Linked DNA regions of Drosophila melanogaster. The protein of the gene in region 2 interacts with the protein of the main gene of each other region in a pairwise test. Each region holds a gene or a part of one and is shown on either strand. Other genes may lie near its edges.

Evidence for each region. Proteins that work in one complex are often made in the same cells at the same time.
Region 1: the proteins of CG3919 (region 2) and Zaf1 interact in a two-hybrid assay, tested with the Drosophila melanogaster proteins (one large-scale study listed by BioGRID).

The regions. Positions count from the first base shown.
Region 1 is NT_033777.3:11,619,965-11,630,025, reverse strand, and holds Zaf1 (ZAD and architectural function 1), read left to right. Parts: upstream 1-4,381; 5' UTR 4,382-4,400; coding exon of another isoform or gene 4,401-4,515; 5' UTR 4,516-4,551; exon of another isoform or gene 4,552-4,757; intron 4,758-4,839; exon of another isoform or gene 4,840-4,975; intron 4,976-5,077; exon of another isoform or gene 5,078-5,190; coding exon of another isoform or gene 5,191-5,308; 5' UTR 5,309-5,365; coding exon of another isoform or gene 5,366-5,476; 5' UTR 5,477-5,534; coding exon of another isoform or gene 5,535-5,669; 5' UTR 5,670-5,671; intron 5,672-5,723; 5' UTR 5,724-5,731; coding exon of another isoform or gene 5,732-6,240; 5' UTR 6,241-6,299; coding exon of another isoform or gene 6,300-6,425; 5' UTR 6,426-6,480; coding exon of another isoform or gene 6,481-6,615; 5' UTR 6,616-6,634; exon of another isoform or gene 6,635-6,687; intron 6,688-6,792; 5' UTR 6,793-6,988; coding exon 6,989-7,111; intron 7,112-7,169; coding exon 7,170-7,819; intron 7,820-7,876; coding exon 7,877-8,011; intron 8,012-8,081; coding exon 8,082-8,301; 3' UTR 8,302-8,387; coding exon of another isoform or gene 8,388-8,511; 3' UTR 8,512-8,560; downstream 8,561-10,061. Other genes in the region: CG14712 (uncharacterized protein), read right to left, coding at 1-242, 306-708, 778-945, 1,012-1,085; CG18764 (uncharacterized protein), read right to left, coding at 1,617-1,731, 1,790-1,900, 1,974-2,860, 2,916-3,032; CG6813 (uncharacterized protein), read left to right, coding at 3,440-3,550, 3,611-4,023, 4,083-4,328, 4,401-4,515; CG14711 (uncharacterized protein), read right to left, coding at 5,191-5,308, 5,366-5,476, 5,535-5,669, 5,732-6,240, 6,300-6,425, 6,481-6,615; CG14710 (uncharacterized protein), read right to left, coding at 8,388-8,511, 8,573-8,818, 8,881-9,623, 9,682-9,816.
Region 2 is NT_037436.4:14,408,626-14,418,686, forward strand, and holds CG3919 (uncharacterized protein), read left to right. Parts: upstream 1-2,000; 5' UTR 2,001-2,276; intron 2,277-2,455; 5' UTR 2,456-2,469; coding exon 2,470-2,647; intron 2,648-2,874; coding exon 2,875-3,185; intron 3,186-3,409; coding exon 3,410-3,559; intron 3,560-3,630; coding exon 3,631-3,948; 3' UTR 3,949-4,107; downstream 4,108-10,061. Other genes in the region: stwl (stonewall), read right to left, coding at 990-1,137; bbg (big bang), read right to left, coding at 4,737-4,885, 4,950-5,090, 5,455-5,869, 5,945-6,073, 6,142-8,570.

The sequences.
Region 1 (10,061 bases), on a different chromosome or scaffold from region 2:
GTTGGGGAGATGGTTCCATTCGAGTTCATATGTTGCAATGCAGGAGAAGCAGCCGACAAAGATGTCGAATGATGCCTGAGCGGAACCGATACCGTCAGCTCTCGTTGCCTTTTAAAGGACTGATTCTGTTGTTGCTGCAAATTACGTAGTTTCTGTTGCTGACGGTGATGAGCCACAAAGTCCACAAAGTCCACGTTTTGCTGGCAACTCCTTTTCGTGTAGTCTTGAGCCTGTTGCGTATCCTGAAAGCAAGCCAAGTGTAAGCCGGTGATCTTCTCATAGGATGATTGATGGCTTATACTTACTTCAGTGTTGATGCGCTTTCGGGAGATCTCCTTAAGCTCCTCCAACACGCTTCTAGTTGGCTCGCTCTCATGCTGTGGATGAGGTGGGTGCAATATGGGTCGATTCTCTCTCGAAAGCTGCTCCTGTTCGGTGGTCTTTGGCACTAACCCTACCAAGGAGTTGGATCGCAACAGGCTTGACAGCGTGTTTCCGGAATAAAAGCTGCGCTCCGGTGGTGCAATCTGCGTGATCGAAAGCGTCGGCGCCCTTGACTTGTAGGGCAACGGGGAAGCGGGCGCTCTGCGCGGCTGCGTCAAGGGATTGTAAAGATTGCTGGCGGACATGCTGCGTTGCAGACCACTGCGTTCGCTTAAGGCCACGATCCGGGATGACAGTCCGCTGCTATGCACATCGGCAAAGGTTCTGAAAGGTATGAAAATTTGATATTGCACTTTCGTCACATCGTGAAATGGCACACAAGCTTTGACTTACCTGGGATCAACCTGACTGAGGTTCAGTTTCTGTCGCGTTATGGTACTGGACGATGTGGCAGAGCGATTCATCAAGGACCGCTCCGGAGTGCGTGTGCCATTGAGCGAGGTATTCGACCCCTTGGGACTCAGTCCCCTCAGGAAATTACTGGCCGCCGGACGATTGTTTCTGAACAAAGGAGAGCAAATTTGATTAGTAACCGCTTAGAATCCAGTTGGACAGGTGGTGTCTTACAACAGCGACGCGTCAATCCGCGTGGAATCCGCCATGGGTGACATGCTGCTCATGTTAAAGCGACGACGCTCCATGCTGCCGAAGGTCAACAACCGGTATTCTCACAGTGCAGTCGGGCGGAGGGGAACACTTTTGGCGGGTGAATCAAGCTTCGTCGTAAACGATTGTGTGCAATCTCGTTTCTTTCTTTTTTTAGTTTTATTAATTCTAAAGAGAAATGCAATGTGAATTTCATAGGAAATGGTTACTGTGTGACCGTTGGTGAAGCGCCAAAATATACCAAAATCTTTAAGCCTTTGGCTAAATAAACGATTAAAGATAAAAAATAATGTTTAATACTTTCTCCGTCAAATGTATTTGGAAGTTTCGGGCAGACGTGTAAACTTGAATAAAAATTCTTATTTTCACTCCAAATTTATATTGAAATATGTCAGGATTGCCACCTTGGATACTTATTGGCAGGGCTGCACTGCAGCATGTGTCGATTATTAAATCGGGTTAATAAAATTTTATCGCAATTTAAATGTTTGCACTCCAATTAAATGAAAACATTGCTTTATTTCTTATATCTAATACTTGTTTTTTAATTTAAATACTATATCAGCTTATAATTGTAGTACCTCCGCACCAATGGTTTTCGCTTTTGCAGTGTGAAATTTAGATCGCAGATGGGCCTTTAAGTGAGTGTTGCGCTGGAAGGATTGTTTGCAGATGGTGCAGCTGCAAAGGGAATTGTATTAAATTTTGGAATACCAACGCCTAGTCAAAAAATACTCACGCAAAGGCTCGCACTCCTGTATGGATTAGTTCGTGCCGCTTGCGTCCCGAAGCTGACTTAAAACATTTATCGCAATGATGACAGCTGTAGGGTTTGGCATTGGTGTGAGTCCTAGAAAGGATTTTTTTTGGTTTGAGCTCAGAAATGTCCGAATCCGTAGTGGATACAAGGATACGTCCCTTACCTTTCGTGGATGAGGCGAGTGTTGCTATTGTGAAAGGACTTGGTGCAAAAGCGGCAGTCGTATGGCTTCTCGCCCTGGTGAATGATTCGTTGGTGCAGCGTCATGAGATGGTCGGTGTAGAACCGCTTGCCACACTGCTGGCAGGCGAAGTTCTTATTGCCCGTGTGCCGCAGCATGTGAAGCTTGAAATTGCTTTGGTCGGTGAATTGCCGGCCGCACTGTTCGCAAACACACTCGCGTTTACGCTGCAGTCGCTTACGCTCTATGATCTGCTCCTCGGTCATATTTTTCCACGTAACGTACTGTTTTTTCCGCTTGGGTTTTGTGGTCGCTGGCTTCGTTGACCGACCTGCTGCACTCTTCGATTCGGGCAGCGGTGTGTTTGGGTTCGATGATACTTCATATTCGTTTATAGTTTCATTGAAATAGGAACCGTTTTGGGGCTCCATGTAATCGTTGTTATCCGAGTTGCTGTCGTCGTTGCAAATGCTCTCAAGTTCTTTCTGTACACTTGAGATCAGAGATTCGACATCTTGAGAATCCTCTTCGGCTACTTCAGCCATATCTTGAAGCGCATCAACATCTTCAACAGAATCAATATAATTATCCTCATCCAGATCATGATGAGCATCACTATCATGATCCAAAACTTCTTCTGGGGATTCCACAATGTATTCATCGACTTCCCCGAATGGATCGTTCAGACAATCCGGCGGTGATGCCATCTCCTCAACATCTTCAGCCGGTTCCTTCGCTTCGGGAGATCTACGACGATGGACGAGCTGCTTCTGCGTTAGGATGCACCGCTCCCGGAACAAAATCGCTTGGTTCAAGTCAAGCGTGCAGCAGGCGCATATGCTGCTGGGCAGCTCTGGATCGTTGTGGAGCTGCAATCACAGAAAATGCTGCACAAATCAAATGGAAACCATTTTTCTTACATACTGTTGTGCCAGTGACAAGATTTATGTCTTGCAGCATCTTCTCGTTCTCAATATGAAAGAGATTCTTGGGCATTTTATTGTAGATGATGCTGCCGCAGGTCCGGCACTGGAGCGCCATAATGTTAGTTGAAAATCAACCGAAGTTTAGCCCAACTTCAGTTTAATTCGAATATAAACAACCAATTGTTTTGTAAACGCATCCACTACACATATGTATGTATATATATTGTGATGCAACAGCTGGTTTTATTATCGACAAAATCGATAAGTGCGGCAATGCCATTGTGTGACTTAAATGATTTAAAAAGTGCAGTAAACCATTATGGTACTCTTATTAAATGAGATTATAAAACATATTTGTATTTATGTTACTTCATAAGGTACTAATCCCTGTGCAAAAACTCTAAACAGCGTTTATGCGTGCAAAAGTTAGAGTGACCATGCAAATAGCTTAACGACACATTTCGCATAAGCTGCTCGAAACGTAAACAGTAAACAATTATTCAAAAACAAATCAAAGTCGAGATGCGAATTCTGAATTGCCGCATTTGCTCTAGATCAGATGCCCCAATAGACCTTTTTGGTCCAGGAAACGGTCATCTAGTTCGTCAAATTCACTCCATTACTGGGGTGGAGGTAATATGTCTAAAAATATTCCTTAATCATGGCACTTAATTTGCTATTTATACTTTCCAGCTAAGCTGCAAGAAAGAAATATCCGGCCAAATGTGCACGACTTGCCTGGACAATCTGCAGGCAGCCATTAAGTTCCGCCAGCGCTGCATCATTGCCGAGAAACAGAATCTGGAAAGGATTGAGTGCGACAGCAAGGATTGCTCCACAGATCCAATAATATACGAAGACATCGATGATAACCAAATTGAGAGTGAGTTGGACGAGTCCATTCTATGTCCTGAAGTCAAAGATCTTCCAATGCCAAGTGCTGAAAAGGTCTCAGCACCGACTAGTTTGAACCATCAAAAGTCAATTGGAGGAGGTACTGGTCCATATGTATGCCCTGATTGCGGAAGGATCATTAACAATAAGTCAAACTTTCAAGAGCACACGCTCCGGCACACAGGCATCAAGAATTTCCACTGTGTTTTTTTGTAAATTATCCTTAACCTCCTTTGGGCTAGTGCACCTAAGATACGATTTTTCTCCTCAGGAATTGTGAAAGGAGCTTTGCAACTCGAAAGGAACTGACTAGCCATACGCGTATCCACACGGGCGAGCAGCCATACGTGTGCGTCTACTGTCCACGTCGGTTCTCCTCTTCAGGCGCTCGCCAGGAGCACCATCGCCGCCATCGGAACGAACGCCGCTACGAGTGCGACACGTGCAAAAAGAGTTTTGTAAGCTCCGGATGTCTCAGGAAGCACAAGATGATCCATGTGGATGCGCGGAATCACTAGTGGGCATTTCGATTTCTGCCAACTCTGCACATTATTTGTATTACACGTTTCAACACACTTTGATTTTACAGCTGCTACGTATGTCAGAAGCACTTCAAACGAATCTCCCATTTGATGACCCACCTGTCCAGCAATATTCATAAACGCAAAGAAGAGAAACTCACGGAGCTAGCCATTGAACAATGAAGCTGCCTATCTAGCCATTACACTAATTAGCTATCGGTAAGAATTCTAAAATTCCGCGTCCTTTTCTTTAACAAGGTAGACGTACATTTAAGTACAGGTATTCGCATAAATCCATTTTATGCGAATATCTAGCATATTTGGTTTTACTTTTTGTTTCCCTAAGGAATAGAAGAAGAGCCGCATCCCTCCCGACTTCCAAACGTTTTTAGATTTTGATGTAAAACGTTACAAGTTATAAACCTAAAAAAACAAAACATATTTACTTGTCCAAAAAAAGAAGATTTAATTAATCCTGTGCCATTCGATTATTATTCCATGTTGTAGCTTCCACAAACGGTAACAAAGTCTTCGACAGAGCACAAAGAAAAGAAACAATAAAAAACGCACACTCATTTAATGGCCAAAATGATGTTAAAACTACCAAATAAACGCACAAAATCAAAGATTGTAATCGTGTTCCAATTTTTTTCTCGAATATATGGACGTAATAAAAAACATTACAAAAAATATTTGTGTTTTTGAACAAGTTCTTTAACCAAATAGTAATAAATCAAATCCGATTATTTTACACATCCGGTCTGACCATTTGTACTCTTTTTTATTTTACAATTTTTATATATAATTAAATGTACATTAATGAATTATCTAACAGAAATTGTATTGCATTGTTTTCGACTAATAGCGCCCCGTCCGTTCGTTTTTGTGGTGTATTACAGTCTGTTGGTGGGTCATGGTGCCCAAATGCTGATCCAACTGGTGCTTGCGGGAAAAGGTCTTATTGCAGACTCGACAGCTGAAAAATTAAAGGGAATTTAGGGTTATACATGATTAAAGCAGTCAATGGACCTACAGAAAAGGCTTCTCGCCCGTGTGGGTGAGCATATGGTTTTTTAGCACGTTAGAGTAGGAGAATGCCTTGCCGCATGTGGAGCAAGTGAAAGGTCGCTCGTTTGTGTGTGTTCTGCAAAAGGAACAAGTATAGTTTATATGAAGATTACTATGAGGAATTGCATCTTCACCTTTCATGACGAATATTGGAGCTGCGATCCGCAAACGAGCGGTTGCAATATTTACACAAGAATGGTTTCTCGCCCGTGTGAACGCGGATATGGCGATTTAGCTCGGATGGACCCGCGAAGGATTTGCTGCATATTCTGTAAGCGGAATAAGATTTACATAATATAAAATGGTTCAGATGATAATTTCAGATACTCACTCGCATTTAAATGGTTTCTCGGCCATATGACGACGCATATGAATGTTGAGAGCGGCTCGCTTGGAGTAGATATTGCCGCAGATTTCGCACATAATGTTCGTGGAGGATACTTCGGGAGATGATTTGAAGCTAGCTTGAACAGGCGGACGCTCCTCGCTAAAACTGCGTGGGTGTCCGGAGCTAGCACCGCGAGGTCGGCCACGTCCACGTTTAGTCATCCGCGTTTTACGCACCTTAGCTTTGCGGCAGCGCTCGATGGGCTGGTAGTCGCTATCGGTGCTATTCGGCACCAGCAAGTCATCCTCGTCCAGGTCGTCCACTACAGTGCTAGTCTCGTAGGCCTGCGACGTTTCCCCGACACCATCCTCCAGGGGCTCCTCCATGATGTTCTCCATTCCGATGTCATCCTCGACACCGTCGATGAAGTCGTTGGCCGATTCGTAGATGTACTCAATGTTGTCAGCCACTACGTGCGGCACCTCGTCCGTTGGCTCCGACTTCATCTCGGCCTGACATGGTACCGGGTCAAGTGGGATGTTTATATGTGGCCCATCAACTCTATACGTACCTTGACTACATTGGTGGCAAATGTGCGCTCGCTCTCCTGGCAAAGCTCCCGGAACTTGTGGGCACTGGTCAGTCGCTCCACGCAGCTGTAGCACAACATACTGGGGATGTTCTGCAGCGGCACCAGCTGAAAGCACAGAGTGGGTTAAGTCGCAGGATTTTACATTTGCATCCACATGTACCTTTATGCTGCCCACTTCTTCAATCTTGCGCACCAGCTCCCGGCACTGGGCGTCGTTGTCATCGAACAGGGGCGCCATCGCCTCCGAGTTGATGTCCTCTGTCAAGCAGATTCGGCACAACATGTACTCGGGCATTATCTTGCACGTCCTGGACGTACGTATGCTTGCAATTCTGAAATAAACAAGCGTCTTGGAACTTTTCCCAGGGTTGTCATGTACGCAAAACGATAAATGGCTATCGAACTTGCTATCGGCATATCGATTGAATAATTGATAATAATTAAATCTTAATTTTTTTTTTTAAACTAACAGGTGGGCCCTATTAAATATTTAAGCTTGAGTCACGCAATAAAAATACAGTTTTAGAACTAAATGCAAAAAAATTTGGAATGATAGTTGAAAACTGTTACTAATTCCGCGTACCTGACAACCCTTTTACTTTTAATTCACTGCTCTGGCATTTGAATCGGCATTTGACGCGAAAGAGGGACTTCCTGCGGAAATAACGATGGAAATCAGCATTAAATGGAGCATGTGCCGCACTTGCCGCAAAAAAGGAACGCAATCCACGCTGCAGTCGCTCTTCGAGTCCAATGCCCACAAGCTGTTGATCTCGTATGCCGGCACATCTGTGAGTACTCGATTTCTGTTTGGCTTCCAGTTTACCAGTTACAAATCCTCTCTCCTAGGTGAAACCGGATGATGGACTGCCGGATCAAATTTGCACAGTCTGCTTGATGCAACTGGAGGAGGTGGACAGATTTCTTAGCGCGTGCAAACAATCCGACGCGCACCTGAGAAGCCTCGTTCGTCAAACTCTGTCCTCCGCATCGGCATTTGAGACGCTGGAGGATAAGGACCAGCTTGAACAGAAAAAACGCGCCAGGAAGCAGAACATTTCGGGGAGACTCATCGAAGAGAATCCTATTAACTTTAAGACTCAAGAGAATGCATTGGAAACGACCAAAGATGATGAAATCTTACCCATAAATAAATTTTCAAGCGATTTCGTGTTCGATCTCAACGTGAATGCGGAAAACGAGAAAGACATACACCAGGAGGACTATACCATCAGTGATATGGATTTGGACAGGGAGATCTCCGATCAAAATTACTCCGAAACGTATTCGCAAGAAAGCAGCGCTGCTACGGACAGTATTCAAGAGACAAGCGAGGATTACCATAATCTAGAGCCAAGTGCCGACTACGTGATAGATCTAGGAGTGGCCTGCGAGCCGGACAAGTACAGATGCAAGATCTGCAGCAATACATACCGCTGCTTATCTCAGCTAAATGCACACTCGCAGGTGCACCGCAAGGAAAAGGACCACCAGTGCGAGTAAGTATCCGTGATATATCTTAACATAATATTTCATATATAAAATGTATGATTCAGGGTTTGCCAAAAGACATTCAGAGCCGCCTGCAACCTGAAAACACACATGCGGACGCACACGGGCGAGAAACCTTACCAATGTTGCTACTGTTCGCGCCGTTTTGCCGACAACAGCACTCATCGCAAGCACGAACGGTAGAATGGACAAAAACTATATATATTGTGTACAGCATTTAAGTTCCAATGTTGAATTTCTTCATTTCAGTTTGCACACGAATGAAAGACCCTATGCTTGCAACATATGTGGAAAAACATTCTCTCTGTCCTCCTCTCGTAACGCTCACTACTACCTGCATTCGTCTGAAAAGTCTCACAAGTGTCTTATGTGTAAAAAAGAATTTCGGCTTAAGCACCAACTTACAGCGCACGAGAAGTCTCTTGCGCACCGTCTGATAGCTAAGGAGTACAGCGACGTGGTAGAATAGTTAATAAAAATAGCTGGTCTATTCTGGAAAAGTGGCTTTATACTACTTATAATAGATAACCCTAGTTCCTCAATTAATTTACTATATTAGCTCTCTAACATTTCCGGAGAGCTGGGAATGGTTTGCTCCATTTTGTTGCGGTGGGTTAGCGTTTGCAGGTGAGCTTTCAGCTGGTGCAGCAGAGTGAATGACTTGCAACAGATACCACAGCTGAAAAGTTCAAATTATTAATAAAAAGTGCAAATCACTAGAAAGGATTACTCTCCCTTACTTGTAATTCTTTTGGGCGGAGTGCGAAAGGATGTGATTTTTGAGGATGGCTGTGTGCGTAAAAGTTTTCCCGCACTCCTGGCAGGCATAAGGACGCGTGTTGGTGTGGACCCGTTCATGGCGGACCCGTTCGCTGCGATCGTAGAAGTGGCGGTCGCAGTACATACACTTGTATGGACGGTCGCCCGTATGACGACGGATGTGTGCTCGCAATTCGCCCATTTGTCGAAAAGATTTATTGCATATTCTGAAAGCAATAACATTTTTGTAGGATAAATTTGTTCCTTCCTAAACCTTAATATCACTTACTCGCATTGGTGGGGCTTGTACTCTGAATGGGTCATCATGTGGGCCGTGAAAACAGATTTCTTGTAAAAGACGTTTCCGCACAGGATGCACATGAACTTCTCCTCTTCCTTGCACTTTGGCTGGTTCCCCCTTTCCTTGGCGTTGATATCCTTGCGTTTGAATTTCAGTTCGGCGTCCGGTTTGCGAGGCCTTCCCGGCTTTTGTTTGTCCATTTTGAAGCTGGGATGTGGCGAAGGAGCGCTTGACATGAGAAGTTCCTCGTCCCCGTACTCAACCTCATAAAACGTGTTTGCATTGGATAATTCCTCGACAAGCTCACCCTTATCATCAATGAGTTCTTCCATTTGTTGATCATCAACGTAGGAGTCCATGTGGGAAATCAGAATCTGCTCAGGACTTTCCGTATTAGGCTCTTCGTCCTCCTCAATCGATTCGTTTATGATAAATCCGTTAAAATCGAGAACTTCCTGGGACTGATCCTCCTGCTGTTCATCCCCCTCCTCTATTGCGGTGATCTCTTCCTTCTCCTGATTCTCTGTGCCTAGTTTCAGATGTAGGTTCTCGTACAGATACAACATATACTCGGCATCGCTTGCCTGGGCAAGAGCCTCTGGTCTCTCCGAGGAACTTGTTTCCCAGTAGACCTGCGAGTTCAGGCACATCTGGCGAAAGTTGAACCACATTTGGACGAATTCGCAACAGCTGTTGCAGGCCTTCTCGGGCAGCTGCGGGGATTGGCGAACCTGGGGGAGTTGGAGTAATGAAATGATACATATAACCCATCTGGTCAGCTCCATTTACCCTAATCCTACAGCACAGCTCCAACTTTTTCCTGAGGTCACTTTCGCCTTTATCCCCAAACAGGCAGATCATTTGGCTCTCTTCGAAATCGCCCAAGCAGATCCTGCATTGCAGAATCACTGGCAAGCTGGCCATCCTGGCTAGCGTTTTTTTGCAAGGGGGCTGGAAATTAAGGCTAATTTCAATTAAATGAGTTTTAAACAATTTTAGACCTGCGCTGTGTGACCGCATTTGCCATGAAAAAAATACCTACAAGTGTTTTAAATACATTTCAGTTTAAAGTTACCATTAAGCCTAAACTAGCTATCAGCTACGAAAAAGCTAAAAAAAAAATACTGAAGCCCCTTCAAACTATTTATAGCGCCGCCACTGCATCTGTG
Region 2 (10,061 bases):
CGTGGAAATAATCGCAATCAAATTGAGAATCATACTTAAATATGTACATGCACGTGTGTATGTACATATGTACACTAAAAAGGATTTTTCTTTCTTTTGCGATATATAAATAAAACTTACAGCAAGAATTCTCGAATAAGAAGTCCCCCATCATTGGCAATATTTTTTCAGTTCTCAAATGAAAAAGAGCCAACTTATATTGTACTGCTCGAAAAGTTTGGCCAAAAGATCTTTCCAGGGAAATATATATGGGTCAATCGATATACACCGACAACAAAATCAGAGATGCATGGATAAATGGAACTACCCACTCATAATATACCAATATAATACAATATACCAATTTTCTAAGGTTAAATTTTACTCAGCTAATGGGCGATTAGTGTTACCAGTGTTACCAAAACGTGCAGAAGGATTCAAATCATTTAAAAAAAATTTATAAAGCTAATAAGAATTAAATGAAATGGATTTGGCTACTGAATAGACTAGATATTATTATTTGTCATATTTTGGTTTTTCTGTATTTAATTTATTTATTTTTAAATCCTTCTAAAATAATGTAATATTCAAATAAGACATTTTTTTAATATGAAATAACAAGCTTGTTGGAGAATTATAAATTATAAAATGTTAAATTAAAAAAATAATAATAACAACAAACGAAATAACTTTGTTTAGTTTTTACCATGCAATTATTGCAGTTGCCAAATAACTAATATAAATTACTTTCCAGCTATTTACAAAAATTATGTCACAGCAAGAAGCAATTTCATCCCAAACGACTACGCATTCAACAGGAGACTCGTTATATTCGAATTAATCGATGCCAGCTGCTTTGTGATGGCATACATGGCGCTGCCAACTCGCACACAACTATCGACGGCCGATAATTCGGGGACGACTGACTGTTGTGCGCGCGTTGACGCTGTGCAGCACTGGCAGAAAACTACGCAACGTCGATTGCTATCCCGCTCGCACTCACGACTCACCCGACTCTCCAACTTCGGAGGCAACCATGTCCCAGGCGTTCTCACTCGGCAGGCGCTTCCTATAGTTTTCGTCGGTACGATCATAAAGCGCAGTCTGCTTCTCCACTGACCGCAGCAACATCAGGTTCACCTCAGAGGCGGCGCTCATCGCTAGTTCACTTTGCAAGAATCCAATCGAGAGAGCTCGCTTCGCCAGGAATTTATCGGTTTTGTGTTATGCTACAAACGCAAACGCAATTCACACAATCACAACACACGCGCGCAGCAGCTGAGACTAAAAACGGCGACCGACTGCAGCGAAAACTAAAAGCGAGTATTGAGCACACACACACAGCCAAGTGAGAGTGTGAGCAGAGAGCGGCGCCTTGCGTTGCAGGGAAAAGCGAGTTGGCAGGCCGAACGGTCGTTGACGAGGGTTGACCAAGGTGGCCCCGGATAAATTTATTTTTTACCTGTCGGGCTAGACTATAATATTTTTTTACGTTTATAAATAATGTTTTTTACGCGTTGTTCATAATTCTCAAAACCGCTCAACCTTGTTTTCCAGTTTCTCTAAGATTTGTTAGCATTTATCTTAAAATAAAATAACTTCATTTGACAGCCAATACAAATATGAAATATTTTATTTTGTACATTAATTTAACCAAAATCGTAATATTCTTGAATAATTTTTATAATTTACAACATTTAGGGGTGGTCATTAATTAATTGGTAAATGCGTTGGCAGCACCTCCAGCGATCAAATGGCACTGCCAACACCAACTGCTATACTATTGCATTAAGTCTGGCAGTGCTGTCTACTTTGAGTGAGTGTGCCTTTCATTGTATGTGTGAGATCCAGTGGCATGTCAATTCTCTCTCAGAGAGGGTTGTATGCTGCTCGAATGGTAACCCCCGCTGATTTGCGAAGAGAATGACTACGCCTCTGGCTTTCCGTTTGTTGTGGCTCCTTTCTTTATTTATTTTGCCGGTGTTTTATATTCTCCGCCCGTTAAAGATTCAAATGTCCAATTCGAATCAGTCTAGTGCTCATGTGCTTTAAAATCAAGAACAATTGCTATTTGAAATTGCAACATTCATTTACAACTGCATCACTTGTTGGCAGCAGCACGAAATCGCAGTGTTCAAAGTTGCTAAACACTTGTAATAGCAGCAACTCCGGCGTCCACGCCAACAACTGCCGCGTGCACGGAAGCAACGAGCGGCTTGAGCCCGAACTTAATAAGCCAAAACTCGTGATAAAAGCACTGACATCGATTAATTGGAGCATTTTTAAACCTAATTCACGTAAGTTTAAACGAAAGATCTGGTTTCAGAGAAAATAACTGTTGTTGAAAGCGGAGCAGAGAAGCAAAGTAGCGGCAAACAGCTGTTGCACGGTCAGGCGACACATGTTTCAGATTCGATTTCGGGTCTTCTACTTTAACTCTATTAATTATATTAATTAATTAAATTTGCATATTTAGTTTTTATATATGAAATGAATACACGCCGTCGGTCCATAGCTCCACCACCGAACGTTTACGCCATCAATGCCAAAATATGTCATTTGGTGAAACTACATCCTTGTCTTTACGATCGTCACGATGACAACTACTTGCGGAAATCGACTGTGAAAAATGCGTGGAAGGAAATATCCAATGAGATGCGAAATTCGGGTGGGTTTTTATCTATATTTCGACATATTGCATATTAACTAAATTTACTTTAATTATTAAATTTACATTTCATTAGGAGATGTTTATATTTTTATAAGCACGATTTTACTATGTCGATACATAATATAAAATAAAATATAATCTCTTATAAAATCTTACAATTTATATTATATAAATATTATATAATATTATCTTACAATCTTATTGACTGCTATTGATCATTTCAGTTAAAAGCTGCAAGGAACGTTGGCGCAACATTCGCTCCAGCTATGCCCGCTCAATAAAGTTGCATCACGGTGCGAATACGTACTATCTTAACAGCGAGCTGAAGTTCCTGCAAAAGCACATCACTCCCGGAGTGCCCGTTCCGCTCAGAGGTCGTAGGTCAAGACCCAAGGGACAGGAGGAGCACGACGAAGGGGATCCCGAAACTCCCGTAGAGGCAATCCTCGAGATGGTGCACTCCCCGAGCTTTCTGAATTCGGAGCATGCGCAGAGCCGTCACAGCACCGACCCTGCATCGGCGACGGACGTTGAGGTGGGAGCAATACTCAGATGCATTTTGCTGAGGCCTTAAATTATTACAACCTTGTTTAGCGTTATGAACTATACTTTAAAGTAAAAAAATGATGTATGCTATATTTTTGGTCAAAAGTTAAAGCTGTGCAAATTAGCTTAGTTTTATACTGTGTGCCCGTTTTTATTTCAAAGCTGAAATTTGCATTTATAATTTTAATGATGCAGTTTCCTTTAATTCTTCAGGCAACACAATTTAATAATGAACCATCATCAATCATGGATTTCGAGGACACGGTCCCGGCAGAAATGCGCACAGAGAGCGACAGCAGTGAGAAGGAGGCCAAGGTGGGAGAAATTACTTTATATAGAGTGCCATTGCTTGAATTCCCCAAAGTAACAATCTATTAAGTGCAAAATTTAATTTGTACAGCGTTTATTTATGATTTGTTATTTTCTTATTTCAGACATCAACCCGCTGTATTGAAGCATTGCCAATCATGGATTTCGATGACGCATTCCTGCAGGGACTGCGTCCCGAAATCAAGCACATGAACTTCCACCAGAAGCTGTACTTCAAGCGACGTGTGTACGACCTGCTTGGCGAGATATTCCATTCCGAGCAGTCAGCCTCATCAACCCACCCAGCGCAGCCGCATCCCAGGGAGAATGTCAATGGAACGCTATCCACTACCTCGAGTCTCTCCTCGGCGAATCCACTACAGCACATGGGACTTATGCTGCAGCTGCCAAAGCTGGTGTCCAAGGCATCCAAAGATTTGTAGCTTGCGAACTGCTCATTGAACAGCTTTAATACACTGATATCAAATTTATGTACAGTACATAGGACAAATAACATTTTAAGTTGTTTTTAGAAATGTTCCCATAATGTATAAACAGAAAAATGTGAAGTTGAAACTAAATAAATAAATTTTTCTAAATTTAAAACTAGACTTTTTTGTGAAAACTAAAATTTTTTTGTGAAGGAAATTAAAACAATCCAGACAATTTAAAAAAATTACATTCAGGTTAATTTCATATATGTTGTATGTTTATTTTTAGCAAATACTTTTGTATACGTAAACATTGTTTTTGTTGTTCTTTAAATAAAATAATAATTATTAAAATAATATACATGTATAACGTTCCCGTATAATTTATGGCATAAAATATAATTGTTTTTTTTTTCGTTATGTTTTTTTGAATAATAAGTTGTGTATAAGGAAATAGGGCTGCCCGATAGCTGGCTTCAATTTGATTAAAGGTTTAAATACGTAAATTAGTCTCGATTAGTAATATGTACAATCATCGATCAGTTATAGGTAGGTAAGCAGGGCATGAAAACGTTGTAAGGGTTTAAACAATTGCACTTTAAATTAAATATCTATCAAATTAGGCATACAATTAAAGGTTCGTTTAAATGCAAAACAAATCGCTCGCAGCATTGATCCATCGAATTGGCAAGACCCCCAAGGTTAGACCGGTTAAGGGGTAACCAAGCTAATTGGCTTAAATCTATGAAAATTGTGGCGCATTCTTCCCCATCGTTGGTATTTCATTTAGACCATTTCATCTAGGCGAAACAAATCTTGACCGGTCCCAGCGGCAGTTGCTTCATATAGTTCCAGGCATCCACACGTGTCATCCGCGACGTGGAGGCACCATTGATGCTAAGGATTTCGTCGCCATTGCGCACCTGGTTGGTCTTCTGGGCGGCACCACCTGGTTAAGAAACACAACCTTCATTAATAATCGCTTTAAAGGAAGGATGACAAATTAACCTTACCCATGAACACCTTTTTGACAATAAGGGGACGATTTCCCAGCGGCGAATCAAAGCCTCCTTCGATGGAGAAACCCAGTCCACAGCTGTCCTTAACAATCTCCACACAACGAGCTCCACCTCCACTGGCCGCCGCATCCTCCGCTATAATGACACCGGACTCATTAAAATAATTTATGAACAATGGACTTTTTGATATATACGATAGGCACAGGAGTTTAACAAATTTAATAAAAAATATTGGATAAATATTTCCATTTTTGTACTATACAATAAATTGCACAATTATCCGAGTATTTTCAACAAATAATATATATATTTTGATTAATGGAATTTAAATTGACTTACTGTTAATGAATTTACTGGATGTGTAAATAATGCTTATGCAAATTGATTTCATACAGATTTTTTAGATATAACGAAAATGCAATGCAGATAGTTCTTTTACGATTTATGTATATAATTTTTAACATTGTTAAATTATTTTTCATCTAAAAGGCTTACTCACCTTGTGCACGAATCTCAGCTGCGATGGCATTTCTGGCCTCTGCCGCCCGTTCCAGGAGCTCGCTCGTGCTAAGCTTGGCGGCATCTCCGCGGGACAACTGCCTCCTGGCCCGGATACCTGCGATGGTGGCCTCCGCATCCTCGTCGTGCAAGCTCGCCGGCTGCGGTGGACTTACGGATCCCGTGCTGGGAGTAGTAGCCACTGGCGATTCACCAGCCTCATTGGACACCAGATCAAGATCCAAGTCCAGAGATCGGGAGGCCTTGTGGTAGTTCCTCTTGCGTTCATAGTCCAGCTCCGTGGGTTTCTCATTGAGCGAGCTAAGTGATCCCAGGGAGGATCGTTTCTTGGTCAGCGCCTTCACCACCAGCGACTCGGAGCGGGTCACCACTAGCACGACCTCAGGTCGGGGGGTCTGTTCAGAAAAAATGTTTTAGTTAAGGTTGAAGATGAAGATTACTTTCCCTAGATTACAAAACATTTAAAATACCTTAAGCACACTGATGGATTCGCGGTGCGTCAGTCCGCGCATGCTCATTCCATTGACGGCAAGGATTCGATCACCCTTCTTTAGACGTCCATCCTTGGCAGCTGGCGTGTTGCTCAGGATCTTATGGATCTGGTGGGTATTGAAAGAAGTTACATTAAGATCACGTTTAAAAGTGAGAATGACAAGCGTTAACTCACCGTAATTTCCTTAGCCTCATAATCAGAACCGCCGGCCAAAGTGATACCGATGCTGCTCTCGGGATTTTCCCTCTGCAGGACGATGATGAACGCTTCTGGGGTCTTTAGTGGAGGATCAGCCTCCTCGACTATCTGCTGGACATCCTGGGCGGTGATCAAACTCTGGTTGCTACCCAGCGAGGAAAAGCTGCCGAATTCGGTGGCCGTTTCCTGGGTGGTGCTCACGTTTTGGGTGGTGGAACTAACGCCGGAGGAACTGGACGCCAGGGAGTCCAGCGAGGAGAATCGCTCATGATGCGGCTTCTGGGTGACCTTATGGATTACGGGCGAGTGGTTTTGGGTTTGAGCTTGGGCTGCAGCACTCCTTTCGAACTTTTCGCGCAGTTCGGCGGTGGTCTGTTGCTTCAGCGGTTCCCTTTTCGCAGATGGTAGCAGCATTGGGAGGACCATAGGTTTGACCTGCTCCACTTTGACCTTAGCCTGCTGGTTAGGATCTCCTTTGAAGCTGGCCTTGCGCTCCTCGTCTATGAACATGGCACTGATCTTGGCAGGCGTATCAGATCTACGGCTGCTGTCGTCCGTATCCGAGGTTAGTTCCACATAAGCGGCCACATTGATCAGCTTATCCACTACCAGTTGTTTGCCCAGTTGGATCTGTTGCTGCTGGAGCTTATAGCTGGAAATCGGCTTCATTCTACGATTGGCCAGGGAACAGGCTTCACCATCGGTGCTGTCGTTATCCTCCTCTTGACCTCGACTCTTGGCACTGCGACATTTGGCCGAGGCCAGAATACTTTTGCGACTGGAGAGCGCAACGGCTTCGCCATTGATCACCTGGCTCTTGAGAACCCGCCTGGTTAGATCCACCGCTGGTGTGCTGCCCAGCGAACTGCAACTGGCTTGAGATCCGGCAGAAGATCCTGATGTTAGAGTAGAGGTGTTTGAACTAGCTATCGAAGTGTTTGTTTCGGAGCTGAGGGTTCTGGTTAGTGCAAACTTCTCCGGCGGAGTGGCAACCCTAGCAGTGTGCGAAAACACCGAATCCGTATCACTTTCCTGATCTAAAGGAGGTGGTGGTGGTGGTATCATCATGCTTCTCGGCTGAAGTGGTGTCAACGATGTCCTGGGTGGTTTGGCTGGTGGTTGAGAGAGCTGTTGCTCCAGGGGTCTTCTTTGATTGGTATTTAAAATGCTGCGATAGTTATTTGCGGCACCTCCTGCACCCAATTGGCAATTCCTATTCACCGTACTGCGGTGGCTTTCGCCTAATCCGCTATCCGTACTATCCTCTCCGCTGGCTGCTTTTACCTGGCTTTTGATCTCCGGCAGATCCAGGATGGGTTCCAGCAGTTGGGGTCTCTCTGGTATGACCAATCCTCGCAGTTTCGACAAACTTCTTCTTCTTTGCTCTAGGATATTTGTAATGGCTGCCTTTCGGTTGGCCGCATCTCCGCCTTCTCCCGAGAAACTGATCCTTCTCTCCACTCCAGAAGAATAAGATCCCCCGTGGCTTCTTCTCGGCAAAGAGGCGTAGCTCGGTGTGGGCGTGGCTGTGTTCAGGGAATACATAGAGTCGGCCACGTGCAACTGGGGCAGCTGTTTGGCCAACTGATATTGCCGCTGAACATCATTCAAATTTTCCACGCTCATCGCGCGAGTTTTCAGCGAAGGAGCCGAGGATGATGAGCAACTGTCCAGAAGATTTTCACTGCTCCTATTCAAGGGCTTCCGGGTGAAGGAGCTTGAAATGGGGGCTGTTGCCGGAGCTGGCGGTATGGCATCCAGTTCGTTGTTTGACGAGAACATGGCAATCTTGTCGCGCACTGATTTCTCCGACTTTTCATCCTTGCGCCAATCGCTAGGCTTCCGGGGAGTACCACCACTCAGAGATCTCTGATAGTCCCTGGTTAAACTGGGTGCTGGCTCTACGTTGATGACCAAATCCTGGCGATATACTTTCCTGGGAACTGTGGCTGGTGGCCCCGTTTTGGGAAGCGGTGGTGCAGAGGACTCATCCTTTCCGCCTTTCTGTATCTCGTAACTCAACTCGGTGGTGACCTTTAGTGGGTGGCTGTGCATGATCAGTGGTTCGCTGAAATTGGGTGGAAATTCATGACCATCGGGCGGCAGGCGGGAATATGTGGGTGGTGAGGCGTAGCTGAGGTAATCCTGCACCAACAGCTGTTTAGTGGTGGTTGCCTGATGCAGGTGGTGCGTTGCTGTCGTCGTTGTCGTTGTTGTTCCTGTGTTGCTGCTCAGCAGCTCCATTTTGCCGGGGATCTGGGGTGCAGCAGGTTTTGTGGTTGCCGCCTCAGTGGATGTCTTCTTAATGCTGCTGCTGATTAAAGTTGCTGCCGGGATGTTGCTACTGGCGTTAATGCCGCTAATGCTGCTTATATTGCTGTGGTGGTTACTGAGGGTACCAAGATCTGCAAGAGGATTGTAAAAGAGAGTGGGAAAGGTTCTGGTTAGTCAAACATAAAACACGGGGAAGAAAACAATTGGACGGAAAATAAGGTACCTTACGAATGTATACAACAATTTCCAATATCAATTTAATAAACATAGGAAGTAACCTTATAATATTTTTAAAGTTAATTTTGTATAAAATCGTCATAGGGTTTGCTAAGTTAAACAGTAGGTCATGTAGTATTTAGTTTAAAGTTTTTGAGTTAGTTCTTTAGAGATAAAAGTTAGCAACATATTGGGTATACGCAAATATCCTTAATTTTGACCAACTATAGGTAATAGGAATTCGAGTAGTGCGCTGTTGGATAATCGAAAAAAGAAAAAGGTAAATGTGTTTAAATACTATTTAAAAGGTCATTTCCAGCAAAGACAAAAATCATTTAAATAATAGTCAATTAATTGTCGGGGGAGAGCTCTGTTACAAAACTTTAATAATTATCCATCCATCCATCCTAGCCAGCGAAACTTTCGCTTATAGCAAGCCCCCAAATAGTTGTCATTATGCGCTAACCGGAGACGAAAAACAAAAGCGAATCTTACGGATGCGATCCCAGCAATTAAAAACCGCAACAATAACAAGAAAAATCTCGCAAAAAGCGAGAAGAAAGAGAAGGTTCAAAGAGGCGGAGACAAAGATTTAGGCAAACAAATTATATGCGAAGAAAACAAAACTTTGAAAACAAAAACAAAAGGGTTTTCCAAAAAGCGAAAGTCGCCAAAAGAATGGTAGCGATTCCCTCAAGCGAAGAGTTGACAAAAACCTTTATGCACAAAATTAGCCAAACTGTGCTGCCTCATTTTTCGCATGTTTTTCTGGGTCACTCGGGGGTGTTTCGATGCCAATTTCTATTTAAATAATTTATTGCTTACTTAGAAAGAGTTTCTAATGACAGCATTTAGTTTTGATTTGTTTTATGGCTCTAAATCTAAACGGAATTCGTCATAAATGGGAATACGGGCAGGCTGCTGAGGAATGCTTCTTTGGACTTGTAACAATTTGCATAATTAATTGAGCAAAAAATGTAAAAACAAAACGAGGCTAAATTTCATTAAAATGGAAAACGCTGCGTGGATTTTTTTCCATTTTATCTTTTACTCTTTCTGCCTTTTGGCCACACACACAAAATGTTAATGAACTTTAGCAAATGTAAAGTTCGCCAAAAATAAAGAGAGAAGAGTAGCAAAAAATTAAAAAAAAAAAAAAAAACATAAGAATTGTTTAATGAAAAGAAAGGCAGCAAAAAATCATGTTTGCATGTGCCGAAACCAAAAAAATGGTTATGGCTGAAAAAATACAAGCTGAAGAAGTGCGTGAAAAATTGCAAAATGTAAAGTCAAGGGCCTATGAAAGAACTTTGACCTTGGTCATAAGAGGAAGAATCAGATTATCTGTGAATTTGGACGAATTCGTCATGATTACTATTTTTTAATATAATGTATGGAATCGTTCG